2 linked regions of the Coturnix japonica genome follow. The protein of the gene in region 1 interacts with the protein of each later gene in a biochemical or structural test. Links are inferred from orthologs where the notes say so. Each region holds a gene or a part of one and is shown in the gene's direction. Other genes may lie near its edges.

Region 1 (7,617 bases):
TCTTTTCAGTGGATTTCAGAAGCAGGCCTTTAACATCTTCCTTAAAAGTCAACAATATTTTAATCTCAACACCCACAGTAAATTACCAGGATCTTTATTTCCTATTGTACTAATGATTCAAAAAACAGTATTGTTTAATTAGTTTTGTGGATGAATTCTTTGTTGTGAGGGTTATTTTTCTGTTATGATTTGTTGTGCAAATTTGGTGCTGAAATTAAAGATTCTGTAGGACCATTTATCCTGCTGTGATTTTGTTGTAAACAGTAGTTTGTGTAAATTTAGATGATTAACATTACTTTGCAAATATGCACCACCCATGCTGAAGTACATAGAGCCTTTGAGTCTGTGTCTCATTCAGCAGGTTGCTTGATCACGTTCTGGAATAACGTGACTTAAAATTATGCAGTACAAGACTGCTGCAAAAGAAACTGCCTTTCAAAAATCTATAAAAATAAATTAATCTATAAAGATATATTTTGCTATCTCTACAACCCGCTGTCTCCGTTCAAAATAGCTTTGGTTAATAGAAGGCATGTTCTGAGGTTTGGCAAATACGCAGAGGTTGTTATTTGTTCTGTTAGACGAGCTTCATAATTTCACATTTATAAACAGAGAGCAAAAAATCAAAAATGCACAGAACCCACTGCGGAGGAAGGGGAAATATGTCTGTATCCTGAATTTTCTCAGTATTAAGTTCATTTTTGTTCTTGGTGTAATCAACAGTAATTGTTGTCCTTTGTTTAAATGGCATTGTATTACCTTTAAAATTTTAAATTGTGATTAGCGTCATTTTTGTATATAACCTTTTCTTAATCCATAGTAAAAATCGGGTAGTGTAAAAATCTTGTTGGTGATCATGTATGTACCTAATTTTCTATTGCTGCATTTGCTCTTAGGGTAAGGGATGTAATCCATTACTAGTTATCTATTAGTTAGTATCTCTTATAGCTATTTGACAAAGTAACAAGCAGAAGATAAAATATAGATGTCTTAATATAATAATATAAACAATTCCATCTTGAAGAAAATGAACTATATGATTTTACTATATAGACAACCAGAACCATTCTTTCATGATTGCTGTTTCAAGCATAGTTTTTTTATCCTTTGCTTTTGTAAGTATAAATGGCAAGGCTAATACATTACTTGATGTACTACTCATATGACTTCTTGCAAAATACACAATTGTAATTTCCTTATTTGCAGTACTTTGTAACTTCCTATAAAAAGAGATGCTTCTGGCTAATGAGACTGTATCTTGTAAAACCATTTAAACTGTAGAATATTTCAAATATTTTTATTACTCACATGGAGAAAAAGAAAGTCCTCTTAAAATAGGCTTATTCTCATTTAATCAAACATAAAATAACTTCTACTGCATACCCTTCTTAAAACAGGAGAATTTTTTTAAAAAAGAAGGGAAAAAAAAAGTTTCTCCACACATGAATGTCAGAGTCTGTAACATCTGACTGATTTATAAGTATTTTTGCAATTTTCATATGTGAATAATCAGGTATCTTCCAAATGTTCACTTGACATTTCACTGAACTCCCATTTTCTCCGTCCTCCATTAATCATCCTCATTCTTTGTGTAAATGCTTCCTCCTACACCCAAAGAATCACAGGCTGTACCTCCCAGCTGTGTTTCACAGCTCAGTGAGTCTGGGTTTGCATTAGAAAATGTTATTAGAAACAGATTGAGACTTTCTTTTTTTTTCTTTTTTTCATCTGGCTACAAATAAATTGTGAAGGTGAGGGCACTATGAATCTTGGATAATCTTCAAATTGGTTTAGACTTAAAAGGTGAAAGCTTAAAGGATATCCCACATAGTACAACAGTTTGCAACACATACTTTCAAGTCGTACAGCACATTTCATAACTCATGTTCCCCTTCAGTATTTCATCTGGAGGTTTGGACACATGAACAAACCAACACGTGTCCCCAGCTCTATAGTATCTGTCTCTGGAGTGGAATAAACTCCTTGAAGTTGCTTGGTGCTCACTGTAGTTAAGAAAAGCACACGATTACTGCAGAGTAGTTGTTAATGTGTTACTTACCAGGTGTCTGCACACACTTATCCTGCAGTAAATGTAGTGAAAGTAACAATGGAAGAGAGAAATAGTCCTATTTATCACACCATGAGTCTTCACTGCACAAGTACCTCAGCGTGTGCTGGTTGTAGAACTTTGTGGAAATAGTAATCATGGGTATGAATTCATGATCTAACTAAATGGAGCAAGCTCCTCATATACACACCTGAATGGGTGTTGGACTGCTCTGCTTTAAAAGTACAGCAAACTGTCTTACACTTATTGCACAGGATGGTTGATACAAAGCCCTTGCTGTTGTAAGATCATACTTTGCCTGTATGTTATTTTCCTTTTCAGAAGCAGGAAGCATGCATGCTTCTCAGGGACAAAGCAGGATACAAGCTTTTTTAAAAGTTAATGTCTTTGTATTTAGCTTTCTGAAAATGATTTCTGAAGTTTTCTCTAAGCAAATCATTGAGAAATCTATGGGAAATGTATTCAAGTCCTTAATTTATAAGTAACTGACAGAATATCTTAAGACACAAATGTATTAATGATGTAATTTTGATAAAGTAACTCATGTACTTGGAGCCTGTAGTTGTCATGATCATAATTGGAATGTGAGTTAGAAGAGTACTGTTCTGGTATGGGGGGGCTATTGTGAAAATATCATTAAAATAATTAATAGCTTAGTTATTCTTTTTTTACAGGAAAACTAGAGTAAAATTGCTTGTCTTCCATTTCAGACAATCCTTTGAATAATGAAAGTTCTCGAACTCACTCCTCCGTCATTGCAACAAGCAAAATGTCTGTAAAGACCTCAATCTTTCACAAAGATGCTGCTACGCTAGAACCCCCGTCTTCTGCTAAAATTACTTTTCAGTGTAAACACACAAGTGCCCTTTCTAACCACGTTTTGAATAACGAAGATTTAGTAGAAGACCTCTCGCAACCAAACACAGAAACAAGACCTGAACTTTCAGTTCATTCTCTTACAAAAGAAAGCACTTACACAGCAAAGTACCCAACATCATTCAGCAATAGTACCCATGCAGAAAATTCACATAAAGAGAGTAACAAGAAAGATACTCTCCCAGTTCCTTCATGTGAAAATAATATTTTTGAGTATGAAGATGATATTTCATCAGTCAGCAGACAGATACCTAGCAGGAAGTATACTAGCATCAGAAAGACTGAGAAGGATGTCTCTTTTATGCACGTGGGCCGCCACATTGGTGACAGCATATTGAATAAAAATTCTTTTAACTTTTCTGATTTGAGCCACTCTGGCCACTCCAAAGGTAAAATATCCTCTGAACTAAATGAAAAAGCCAGCAGCGCAAGTATAAATAGTTTTTTTCCAGCAACAGTTACAGAAAATTGTGAATTGGTGTCCTGTTCAGGAGGCAGCCGAACTGTTGTTCATTCACTTGAAAACAACACTGATGAAGGTGGCCTTAATAAGCTTAAAATTAGGTATGAAGAATTTCAGGAGCATAAAGCAGAAAAGCCAAGTCTCAGTCAACAAGCAGCACATTATATGTTCTTTCCTAGTGTTGTTCTTTCAAACTGTCTTAGCCGACCACAAAAGTTAGCTCCTGTGACGTATAAATTACACCAAGGCAACAAACAGTCCAGGTTGAAGCTGAATAAAAAGAAATATAGTTTTATCAATCATCAGGAGCCCGCAACTGTGAGTGATGTTGTATCAGTGAAGGAAAGCTGCTATACACAAGGTAATGCTTGTAGTAATATTCCTGATAAGGATAGTGCTTTACCTAGCGACTTAGTCCAAGTTCCTCTTGAGGCTTTTGAAAACAAAATGCCTACAAGTACTGCTCATTGTACTGACTGCCAGATGGGAGATGGATCTCTTGAAACTGAGCAGTCGTTTGGATTATGTGGAAATAAATACACACTCCGAACTAAACGAAAGGTAAATTATGAGACTGAAGACAGTGAATCAAGCTTTGTCGCACACAACTCAAAAATTAATCTACCTCAACCAATAGATAGTGTTGAAAGTTTGGATGGGTCTCAGAAGTCTCGAAAACGTAGAAGACTTTCTAAAAAACTGCCACCTGTTATTATTAAATATATTATCATCAATAGATTTAGAGGGAGAAAAAATATGCTTGTTAAACTAGGGAAAGTAGATTCTACTGAGGAAAGAGTGGTACTCACAGAAGAAAAGATGAATTTATATAGAAAGCTTGCACCTTTAAAAGACTTTTGGCCAAAAGTTCCTGACTCTCCTGCAACCAAATATCCTATTTATCCACTAACACCAAAGAAAAGTCACAAAAGAAAAGCGAAACATAAGTCAACCAAGAAAAAAGCTGGAAAACTGCAAAGAACAGGTAGTAAAAATAATATTAAAAGAACTTTATCTTTCAGGAAAAGGACTCACACAATTCTTTCTCCTCCTTCACCATCCTATAATGCTGAAGCTGAAGACTGTGACTATAACTATAGTGATGTTATGTCTAAATTAGGTTTTCTTTCTGAGAGAAGCACAAGCCCAGTAAACACATCGCCACCTCGCTGCTGGTCTCCCACTGATCCAAAAGCAGAAGAAATTTTGACCAACCTGGACAGAGAAGCTTTACATAGTAGGGGTAGTATGTACAACAACAGGACTGTTAATTCTAATGTAGGAAAAAATAGTCGAGCAAAAACTCAGGTTAAGAAATGTAAAAAGAAATTTGCTAGCCCCACTGTATCTACAAAGAAAAAGAAAAAGATGAATCAGAGTGATAAAACAGCAGATGATGGAAAGAAGAAGCCTAGAACGAAACAAAGACAGAAAACAACAGAAAAAATGTCCTCAAGAAAACGCATGGTTTTTAAAGATGAAAAAGGAAATAATCATTCAACCACAGAAGTGAAGTTTGTGCTGAAACATCAAGATCTGCCTGAGATGTCTTACAACTCGCAGCCGCTTCATCATCGGAGAGATGGTCCTCTTCCTGGCTTTACAGCAGGGTATCTGCCATCAGCACCATTTCCCTCAGCAGCTGATACACAAGGTAATTCATCAGACTGTTTTCATTCATTGATGGAAGTTGATAAGCCTTTAGATGCACAGTGTTTGCCTGCTCCACGAGAAGACCCTCATTCATCTCTCACATCAACTTCTGTGGCATCCGGAAGAGAAGTACTGAAAGTGAGCTCTCAAAGGCCCAGGACTCAAAGTGCTGTATTTAGAATGAAGGAATCTGCTCTTGTTAAAAACATATTTGACTCATCTAATCACTCAACTCAGGTAACACAGAATGTGTGCATCTCTAAAGATAAGACCCTTGTAAAAGCAGAAGAGATAAAAAATTTGCAACACAGGTATTTACCATCAGCTGGGAAATTAAGTGAAGCTCGTGAGTCTTCAGACTCAATGAAGGTGGATCAGTTGCATTCCACTAGCTATTTGCATTGTAAAGACAATAATCAGCAGCAGATTTTTTGTATACCAGAGGCATCCAAGCATTCTGATCCTTCTAATTCTGTTCCTAAGTCATCTGAGGAAAGTCCGGGGCCTCTTCAGTTGCCTAAGAACTGTTTTGTAACCTCTTTGAAGAGTCCAGTGAAACAACTAAATTGGGATCAAAAACAGAGAGGATTTATTTTGGAAATGTCGCATTTTAAACCTGAAACTGTAAAACAGAAGTCTCTGCCAGAAACAACGACACAACCAAAACCCATTTCCCAATATAAGAACAGGACTATAGTGGCCCCGTCAGCATTTAGTGAAGGACAGTCTGGCCTGGCTGTTTTGAAAGAGTTGCTTCAGAAGAGGCAACAGAAAGCTCAGAATGCAAATGCTACACAAGAACCATTACCAGTTAAAGCACAGCTAAGCAAAGGTACCCCATGCCCTCCTGAACAGAACAAAGCAATCAAAAGGTCACGGTCAGCCACACCTAGGAAACCACGTACTCCCAGGAATACAAAACCTAAAGAAAAAACACCCAAACTTTCAAAAATGGAGTCTTTAAGCCAACAGGTCACTAGTCATGCTGATCATTCTGTGTCTGATGATAGCCCTATATTTTTTTCAGACCCTGGTTTTGAAAGCTGTTACTCCCTTGAAGACAGCTTATCGCCAGACCACAATTACAACTTTGATATTAATTCTATAGGGCAAACTGGATTTTGCAGTTTTTACTCTGCAAGCCAGTTTGTCCCAGCAGATCAAAATTTGCCCCAAAAATTTTTGAGTGATGCAGTTCAAGATCTTGGTTCTGTACAAACAACAGAAAATGACTTTCTATGTCGTAATGACCAAAAAGCTGATGAAGAAAAACAGCATTCTTCAAGCACAAGCAAGTGGATAAGACCTGGTTCTCTGAGCCCTGAGCTTTTTGAGAAGACCTCCCTGGATAGTAATGAGAACCACTGCCATAGCCAACGGAGGAAAAACGTTCATCCTTCAACTTCTAGATCTAACTCTGTTGATACCTCTTGTACACAAGAGACAGAGGTCTGTCTAAATGAGAAATTTAAATTGGCTAGAAACGCAGTAAATAAAGAGAGATTTCTTAACCTTCCTCAGCCAACCAGCACAGATTGGATTCAAAGCCACATTAGAAAAGAAACCACTTTTGAACCCTGTCAACCACTTGATTCAGTTAATACCTCTTTTACATCTGTACTGTCTTCTCCTGATGGTGAACTCATAGATGCAGCCTCTGAAGATTTAGAATTATATGTTTCAAGAAACAACGAAGCATTAACTCCGACTCCAGATAGTTCACCAAGATCCACCAGCTCTCCCTCACAGTCAAAAAATGGAAGTTTTACACCTCGTACTGCTCACATTCTTAAGCCGCTTATGTCCCCACCCAGTCGTGAAGAAATCATGGCAACTTTGCTGGATCATGATCTCACAGAAACAGTTTATCAGGAACCATTTTGCAGTAATCCTTCTGATGCTCCAGAAAAACCAAGGTACTGTTTTAAAGGCATTTCTGTCTACATATGCTTGTAATTATATTAAGTTTAATTTATTCCTGTAAACAATTTTTTTGCTGTTATGTGACACAGCTGCATGAAAGATTCCATCTGTTATATGCATGTTTGAAGCTGAAAATTACTATACTTCCCCTGCAAATACCCTTCTTCATTCATGACACTTTCTTTTTTTATTGCTTGATATTATTGTAGTAAATGAAAGTACGCCTGCTTGCTTTGTAAAAGATGAATACTGCCCACAGGAATTGTATTGTGAGAAGACTAGTTAGCTGAACACTGCTAGTGTATAGTCTTAAAAACTGCCTGCACAATGCACTTAAGAGCAAAGCAATAATTCAAACTGTTTTCTTTTCAGGGAGATTGGAGGACGGCTTCTCACTGTAGAAACTAGGCTTCCAAATGACCTGCTTGAGTTTGAGGGAGACTTCTCATTAGAAGGGCTACGACTCTGGAAGACTGCATTTTCAGCAATGACTGAAGGTCCTAGACCAGGGTCACCTCCCCGTTATGGTCACTCTGCTGCTAATAAAAGAGAAGGTAATAGCCATAAAACTAGCAAAGACAAAAAAATTGTTATAATGCCATGCAAGTGTGCTCCAAGCCAGCAACAAGTTCAG
Region 2 (8,387 bases), on another chromosome or scaffold:
CTGGATTAACATTCATCTTTCTAATCATCAACCTTCAGGTGTTTCACTGGGGACTTAGAGCTGGATTCAATGGTTTTCATATCACCTATTACCGTGACATCACTGAGCACTACAAAGTTTTCAAAGCATGAAAGGCCCATTTAAGTCCTGATTTTACTGATTCTGTAACGGGATTCCTGTCTTAAACCAAAACCCTTCAGATTAATTGTTCATCAATTAAGTTGGCTTTAGCGTAACAACAGCAAAAGGTAAATCAAAACAGTTATTTTTCATCCAGTGTTAGATAAGGAGCTCCATTCAAAGATGTTTTGGTACTGTCAATCTATGTTATCATTTCAAATACAAGTACCAACACCTATGCGGTAGTAGATATCTGCTTCCTCCAAAGCAGAGAAACGTTGAAAGAATTATTATGTAAACAAAAGTGACAGCTTATGTATACAGTTCATATTCCATAAATTATAGAAACTAAACTAGAAAGAAATGACACGCATTAATGCCCCATGTTAACTGCTGAATAAATATGCATGATTCTATAGACATGCTCATACAATCAATGAAGGTGCACCTTCACAAAATGCCTTACCATGAGAAAAAACTTTCATTGTGCCACAAATACGCTTGATTTTTCCCCACAGTCAATGAAAAAAGTCTTATAAAAATACCAGTGTTTGCATTTATAAAGAATACTTATATACAATTAGAACTATACCCACAATGTATTAATGTGCCCCCTGGCTTCTCAAAGGCTTGTCAGTGCCAATATGTGTACATATGCGCTAGCTCTCGGTGTTCAGAACAAGACTGATATACCGTGGAAGAAGCTCTCACTTTATGTATGAAATGTGCCACATGTACCAGACATAACGATATTAAAATGATATTACAATGGGAAACACCCATGCATAGACAAAAAGACTTCAGTGCACACACTTTTTACATCTCTTAGAAAAGCAGCCTCTATAATCAAAAATATTTAGTTCAGAGGAAGAAAATTTACCTACAACTTGCAGGGTGCAGGCAGGAAAATAAGCATACAGAGTTAAAAAAAAATAAACAAATCTTCATACAGTTGATTTCTATCACGAACTTTATTTTCTGATTTCAGACCAAGTATCTCCTTCATTCTGGAACACGTTTTAAGAACTGGCAAAGAAATGCATCTAAAATTCGTCTAAACTCAAGTACTCGGTAAAACAAACTCGCTGCAGTTCAAGACTAAACTGAAAGGATGCAAATAATTCATGTGCCTGGTGCCATCTCCTGGTAGCTTAGAGATAAAACCATCAGAACACTGAATGCTGTTTCGCAATAGTAGCTTTTTAAACTCCCCAAATTCACAAAAGCTGTTTCACTAGACAAGAAGGCCACTATCAAGACATAGCTTCATTCATGCTAAATGATGTTTTCACATCGGATTAACACTTGCATAACGAAACGGAGATTGTAAATGGCTGGGCTGGTTCAGGAAAAGCCTTTAGCCAGGAACAACCCACACATCGTTCCCTCCCATAGCACACAGAACTAAGCAGATATAATAAAAAAGTAGCAATTTCACTAGAAACCGTGGAAGTTCAGCTAATTGAGAAGGGCCTCAGCCCACCAGGAGTTAAGACAGCATCCAACACAGGATCTACAAATACCACAATATGGACTGAGGGAGAAAGGGAGCAAAAAGTCAACAAACAAGCTCAACACTCACCATCAGTATTAGGCACAGACAGTTTCAGATGGGCAGCATTATAAACCCCCAAAGGCAACTCAAAACAATATGCAGAAAATAAGAGGGATGAAGGTTAAAGTACTAGTTCTATGTGCTAGTAAGTAGAGAAGCTCCCCCTAAAGTGGGGAAGGAAATAAAGGAGCTTGAGATCTACCAGAACAGGAGAACTAGAGCTCTGTTACCCACAGTAAGATTTCCTTCCTCTGCACAGGAAGAACTGGATTTTGCTGAGACTTAATATGACAATTTGTTAATGTGATAAGAGGGCTTTTATAACAAACAGGACTTTTATTCTACAGACTGTTTTATTCTGCTGGCAGGAGAGACCTGTCCACAACGACCCGAGGGTTAAAAAACTAAACAAGAACAAAAATAAAAGCCCCAAACCTGGGAAGGAACTTTACACATGGATTATTTCTTCTTGTCTGCTGAATGACTACAGGAGCATGACTAGAGTTGCCTTAAAAAATTTGCAGGAGCAGCAGTGATCTGGATTGTCACAGGTTCATTAACAATGGCCATGGGGAAGCAATCATTAAATGTTGCAGAAAAGCCAAGATAAATAGGGGATGTTTAATTCCACAAAAAGAGAATAATAAATATATATATGTGTGTGTCATATCAAAATGTAATTGAGAAACACAGCAATGACTAAAGAATCATAAGAGAACCAAATTAAATGCAACTGGGATTTCACATTCCTTCTGAAAATTAAGGCTTTAGCATGAGATAATTAAAGCAAGGACGGCCAACTCGTGATGTGCCAGAACGTATAACTCAGTCTGTCATCTGCATTGCCGAGTCCCCGCGAGCTGCTCAGGAAGCGGGCTGTCAGACACACCGCTCCCTCACCCACAGCACTATCCCCACTGCTCCCCGTGACAGCCCCACAGCCTCCTGCTTGTCACGCAGCTGGACATGCCCTAAATGTGAACTACAGGCATCAGCAGCACATGGAAAAGCTCCTCATCCGCCTCTGCCAAAACACGGAGAAACCAATTTGTGTTGAAGCAGATCAGCTACCTGCAACGGGAGACCCTTAAGAATCCACCAGAGCGCTGAGGAGCCGCACTTCGCTTCTATGAGCGCTGGGTTTGTCTATTCCACCGGGTCTAACTACAATGGCGCAGCGGAGGCGGCTCGTAGGGAACCTCGGAGGGAGAAAAGCACGAGAAAATCCCAGAGTGGGAAAGGAAGGGCTCTGAGAGCGCTCTGGGACGGGAATAGCGCAGGGGCTGAAGGAGAATAGCGGGTATTAACAGCAATCCGACTGCTAAACGCTGAGCGGGGCGGCTTTCGTACTGAGCACAACCAGAAATAGCCCAGAGAAGAGGCAGCACCTCCATAAGGACACACGCACCCAACGGCACCTGACGGGACGCACCCACACACCGCAAACCCCGCCCGCCAACGGCCGCACCCCGCGCATGCGCAGCACGGCATCCCGCCTGCTCAGCCCTCGCAGTCGGCCGGAAGGGGCGGGGCGTGATTTGAAGCGGGCGGCGGGCACCGCCATGGCCGCGCAGCTGGGCCGCGAGCAGCAGGGAATCACCCTGCGGGGCAGCGCGGAGATCGTCGCCGAGTTTTTCTGTAAGGGGCTGCGGGCCGCCCAGGGGTGCGGGGAGACGGGGGCGGGTTGGGGGGAAAAAGGCGGGCGGGCGGCTGGCTCTAATGCCGCGGCCGACATGGCCGCCTGTAGGGCGGGAGGGGTGGCCCCCTTACAGAAGCCTCCCCGCTTTGTGCGCGCAGCTTATGGCATCAACAGCATCCTGTACCAGCGGGGCATCTACCCCCCTGAGACCTTCACCCGCGTCCAGAAGTACGGCCTTACCCTGCTCGTCACCACCGACCCCGAGCTGAAGAACTACCTCAACAACGTGGTGGAGCAGATGAAAGGTGAGACCTGCCCCCCCCCGCTTCCCGTCCCCTTTTCTCCTTCCCCTTTTTCTCATACAGCCGTAGTAAATGCTGCGGCCTCTTCCAGAGTGGCTTTATAAGTGCACCGTGCAGCGCCTGGTGGTGGTCATCTCCAGCATTGAGAACAATGAGGTACTGGAGCGGTGGCAGTTTGACATTGAATGTGACAAGAGCGCCAAGGGTGAAAGGTGAGTGACAGCGTTTCTGTGCCTGCTTCTCCCTGTTGGGAGACACAAGGGAAAGACCAAGTATGGTAGTGCTACCTCTGTAACCTAAGAGCTATCTGACGTTACCAAATAAAGCTGTGGGTGCCATTGATGTGCTCCAGGGACTGGATGCAATCCAGGGGGACCTGAACAGGCTGAGCAGTGGGCCCAAGTGAGCTTCATGTGATTCCACAAAGCTAAGAGCAAGGTATTATACCTGGGTTGGGGCAACCCCTGCTTTCAGTACAATCTGGGGGACATAAGAATGGCGCACAACCCTGCTGAAAAGGTCTTGGTGGCAAGCTGGACATGAAGCCTGAAATCATAGAATTACCCAGGTTGGAAAAGACCTTGAACATCATCAAGTCCAACCGCAGCCTAACCAGTACCCTGACTCTAAAAACCCTACACTAAATCATATCCCTGAGTAGGGATATGACCTAACAGCCCAGAAAGCCAACTGTATCCAGGGCCACATCCAAAGAATTGTGCATGGTCAGCAGGGTAAGGGACGTTATCCTGCCTGTATGCTCTGCGCTGGTGAGCCATCACCTGGAGTACTGCATCCAGATTGAGAATTCTCAGTACAGGAGAGACATGGAGCTGTTGGAGTGTGTCCAGAGGAGGGCCACAAAAATGGTCCCAGGGACAGAACAACTCTCCTGTGAGGATAGTCTGAGAGAGCTGAGGTGTTTAGCCTGGGGAAGGCTTAGGGGAGACCAGAGAGCAGCCTTTCAGTATTTTGAGGGGGGGCTATGTGAAAGAAGCTGACAGACTTGTCAGGGCACAGGGTGTGATAAGAGTGAAGTGTTTCGCTAAAAGAAGTGAGGTTTAGATTGGATATAAGGAGGAAATAAGTTTTTTGGCTTGTTTTTGTTTGTTTGTTTCTTTTTTTACAATAAGAGTGGTGAGGCACTGGCACAGTTCATCCAGAGTAGTAGTAGATTCCCCATCCTTGGAGCCACTCAAGGTCAGGCTGGCAGGACTGAGCAATCTTGTGGATCTGTAGGTGACTGTTTATTGCAGGAGAGTTGGAATACATAACAATTAGAGGTCCCTTCCAACTCAAATGATTCCATCATTCAGTTATCAAAATGTTTTGTAATCTGCAACTGAACAAAGTCCTGTATTACTGCTCTTCTGCTGTTTTGCCAAAACTCTCACCCAACCCAGACAGCAAATATGTCCTTAAAAACACTGCGAGGTTTCACAAACAACAAATTGAAAGTTACAGTTTTGTGAGCCTAAGGCTTGAAAGAATGCTTCTGCATAACCATACAGCAAACATACCCCACAGCAGTGCAGCAAGAACTGTGTTTAAAGAAAGCTGTCAGTATTGGAGGTGCAAGTTGTTTTCTTAAAGAGTTTTCTCATTTTTCCAGCGCACCCCGAGACAAATCTCAGAAAGCCATTCAGGATGAAATTCGATCTGTTATCAGACAAATCACTGCCACGGTAACTTTTCTGCCTCTCCTGGAAACTGCCTGTGAGTATTTGTAACTTCTCCGAAAGAAATGACACTTCTTTCAGAAAGCCTGAACTAGCATTTGATTGTAGAAAATCTTTTCCACTATTCTGTTTTTATTATTATTATTTGAAGTGTCATGTATTGCATTTCTGGGTATATGTTTGGTTAGACCAAGACAGTCTCAGCTATGTACAGTATAGAAGCAGCATCAGATAAAGTACTCTAAGTATTGTCCTGTACTGCTTCTTGTACAACAAACTGAAAAAGAACTGCTACTGTAAATACTGTGCTCTCTTTCAATCAAGCACTTGGAGCAACTTCATTGGAAGTTAAACTCTTAAACTCGTTTTTTCCCCAAAAGGTGCAATTCAAGGTGATTTAAGTAGCTTGAAGAAACTTGGTGTATCTGAGGACCTACAGCTGTCATAAATATTGCGACTACAGGAATGATAACTAGTATTTGTTTTCATTCCTTTAACTGCCATTTCTTTTTCTATAGATGCCATAACTACTGATAACCTTCTTGCATGTCTCCATGCGTTTTAACTTCAATTATGGTATCATTCCTATGTGTGTAGCATTAACTTTTTCCCACCTGCTTACAGGTGCCTTTGACTTGCTGATTTACACAGATAAAGATTTGGTAGTGCCAGAAAAGTGGGAAGAGTCAGGACCACAATTCATTGCCAATTCAGAAGAGGTTCGTCTTCGTTCCTTCACTACCACGATCCATAAAGTCAACAGCACGGTGGCTTACAAAAAGGATTCTTTTCCTTAAAACTGTTTCTTGTACATATCCTGTCCTCTTGTATAGTGTCTGTTCATAGAGCAGCTATGTTGTGAACACATGATTGCTCTTGCTGAATGTGCAGTATTGTGCCTGATAATGTGGTGTAACACTAGATTAAGGTGGCACTGTTTGAAGAGCTCTGAGGTGTTCATGACAGTATTAGGCCTGTTTTTCATGCAAGGTCTGGATTTCATGACCAGAAATAATCCATATCTAATCCCAAGATTAATTCTAAAGTTTTTACCATAAAAGCAGCTGATGAGCAGGAAAAGGCCCGAACAGATGAAACACAGCATTTTGAAGAACATGAGACTGCAGTTCTGGAGAGGGTGCTGTTCTGCATCAGTGTGTCTTGTCCTTCTTCAGCAGCTGCACAGCATTTTCTATGTCTGTATTCTTGTTTTATGGAATAAACCTTGAAACTGTATAGAGTTCTCCTAGTCACAGAATGTGGGAATTTGTATTTTAGATGTTAGAATTCTGTATAGCAGCAGTTCAGGCTAATGCCGCAAGTACCTCAGTCACAAATCAAGTGCTTTTGTCAACGTGAAATCCATGAAACTATTCATTAATTGTAGTTTGTCCCCACTCGTGCCTAATACTGTTTGTGGATGATTAGTGATGACTCTATCAATTTTGCGGAATGGTCCTGTAAGATCACCTGGTTTCAACCCCTGCTACAGGCAGGGACACCTACATCTCGATCAGGTTGCTTAAAGCCTGTCCCAGCTCCCTTCCAGGGAGGAGGCATTTACAACCTCACAGGGCAACCTGTTCCAGTGTCTCACCGCCCACACAGTGAAGAGTCTCTTCCCAATATTTAGTTTAATATTACCCTTTTACATCTTAAAGCCATTTCCTCTTGTCTTGTCACTACATGCCCTTATAAAAAGTAATTCCCCCTCTTTCCTGCAGGCCCCCTTTAGGTACTAGAAGGCTGCTATCAGGTCCCCCCCCTGGAGCCTTCTCCAGTGTGAAGAGCCTTAATTCCCCATAATCATTAAGCACAGCGTTGCCTTCTAAATTAGTATCAGACAACAGGCCAGCTGAAGAAGCTCCATAAAAAAAATTTACACTAGCATACACTGCTTTCAGCATTCCCAACAGTCACACTGGAGTTACTTAGTACTTAAGCACTTATGGTTTGACTGATACACGAGTGGTACAATACTATCATTTAAAAAGAGTTTATTTTAAAACTATTGATTTTGTAATATTGCTGCAGAGTGTAAATAATGGGCTTTCCTACCAGGAAATATCCATCCCCACAGCAGTCCCATTTTAGAATATTAGAAAGACACTATATAAACCAGTAAGACAAATCATACTGCAGCTAGACTGTATTTAACAGAGGAATAAGCCTAGTACTTCCCTCTGCCTGTCAGTGGTGTTGTTAAGCAGCTGACTGCACTACCTGCTTACACCTAGAAGTAGGTGCGCTTTAAACAGTAAAGTGCAATTTTAAGCACTTCCCTTGGGGAGGACTGGATCAAAGCAATGGTTGCTGTTCCCTTGTAACAAATTTACATCAGAGAATGCCAACGCGTGCTTCATAGCAAAGGTGAGAGGGTGGACTGGTACAGTGCCAGCAGTAAAAGGTACTGAAAACAAAGATAAAAAATCCAACGCCTTAAAAAAAAATCAGATTGCTCCAGAAAGTTCAAGTCATTTCGTTTTTTGCACCAAATAAAGTTTCTTTCTCAAGGACCAGCCCGGAGTGCAGCTTCATCACCTGGATTTTGTTGGCTTTCTTTACCTTCTTTTTTAAAGGTAGCAATAGACAAGAGATGTAGTATATCATTGTAGAGAGCCCAGGTCCATGAAAATTACATGTGAAAAAGAGCAGGTTCTAAGTCCTGGTGTTTTTGCAGAGACTGCAGAACAGAAAAGAAAGAAAGAAAAAAATTACCAGTCATTTGAACACATTTTTCCCAGCAATCCAAAAATCAATGGATTTGGAATAGCCCACTAGCACCAATAGCTAATGCAACCCATGATCTCTAGTTTTCTCTGAGACTGTGAGGGTCACCATAATATATAAACTCGCGTCTTTGATGGCAATACAGTTAATCTTAGGAAGCCAGATAATAAGGATTTAAAATGTACATTCCTCACCTGTCTAGTTCAGCTGCCGTATAAGCTGGTTGATTCCTTCACCTCTGCAGCCAGGCTTACCCATCTCCTTGAGAAACCCCACTTTATTACGTGCAGCATAGCGGGCCACTGACAGCTGGAACGGCCATAGGAAGTCTGAGACATTTCTGAAGTACTTCCCAGCTGAGT

What was found.
Region 2: the proteins of REV3L (region 1) and MAD2L1 form a complex in vitro, tested with the Homo sapiens proteins (2 studies listed by BioGRID). The link is inferred for Coturnix japonica from reciprocal best matches to the Homo sapiens genes REV3L and MAD2L1.

What each region holds. Positions count from the first base shown.
Region 1 is NC_029518.1:60,206,642-60,214,258, forward strand, and holds part of REV3L (DNA polymerase zeta catalytic subunit), read left to right. Parts: intron 1-2,778; coding exon 2,779-6,976; intron 6,977-7,355; coding exon 7,356-7,617. UniProt on the Homo sapiens protein: Catalytic subunit of the DNA polymerase zeta complex, an error-prone polymerase specialized in translesion DNA synthesis (TLS). Lacks an intrinsic 3'-5' exonuclease activity and thus has no proofreading function.
Region 2 is NC_029519.1:48,824,222-48,832,608, forward strand, and holds MAD2L1 (mitotic spindle assembly checkpoint protein MAD2A), read left to right. Parts: upstream 1-3,175; 5' UTR 3,176-3,237; coding exon 3,238-3,313; intron 3,314-3,472; coding exon 3,473-3,619; intron 3,620-3,707; coding exon 3,708-3,828; intron 3,829-5,228; coding exon 5,229-5,332; intron 5,333-5,919; coding exon 5,920-6,092; 3' UTR 6,093-6,540; downstream 6,541-8,387. Other genes in the region: RPL7L1 (60S ribosomal protein L7-like 1), read right to left, coding at 8,224-8,387. UniProt on the Homo sapiens protein: Component of the spindle-assembly checkpoint that prevents the onset of anaphase until all chromosomes are properly aligned at the metaphase plate.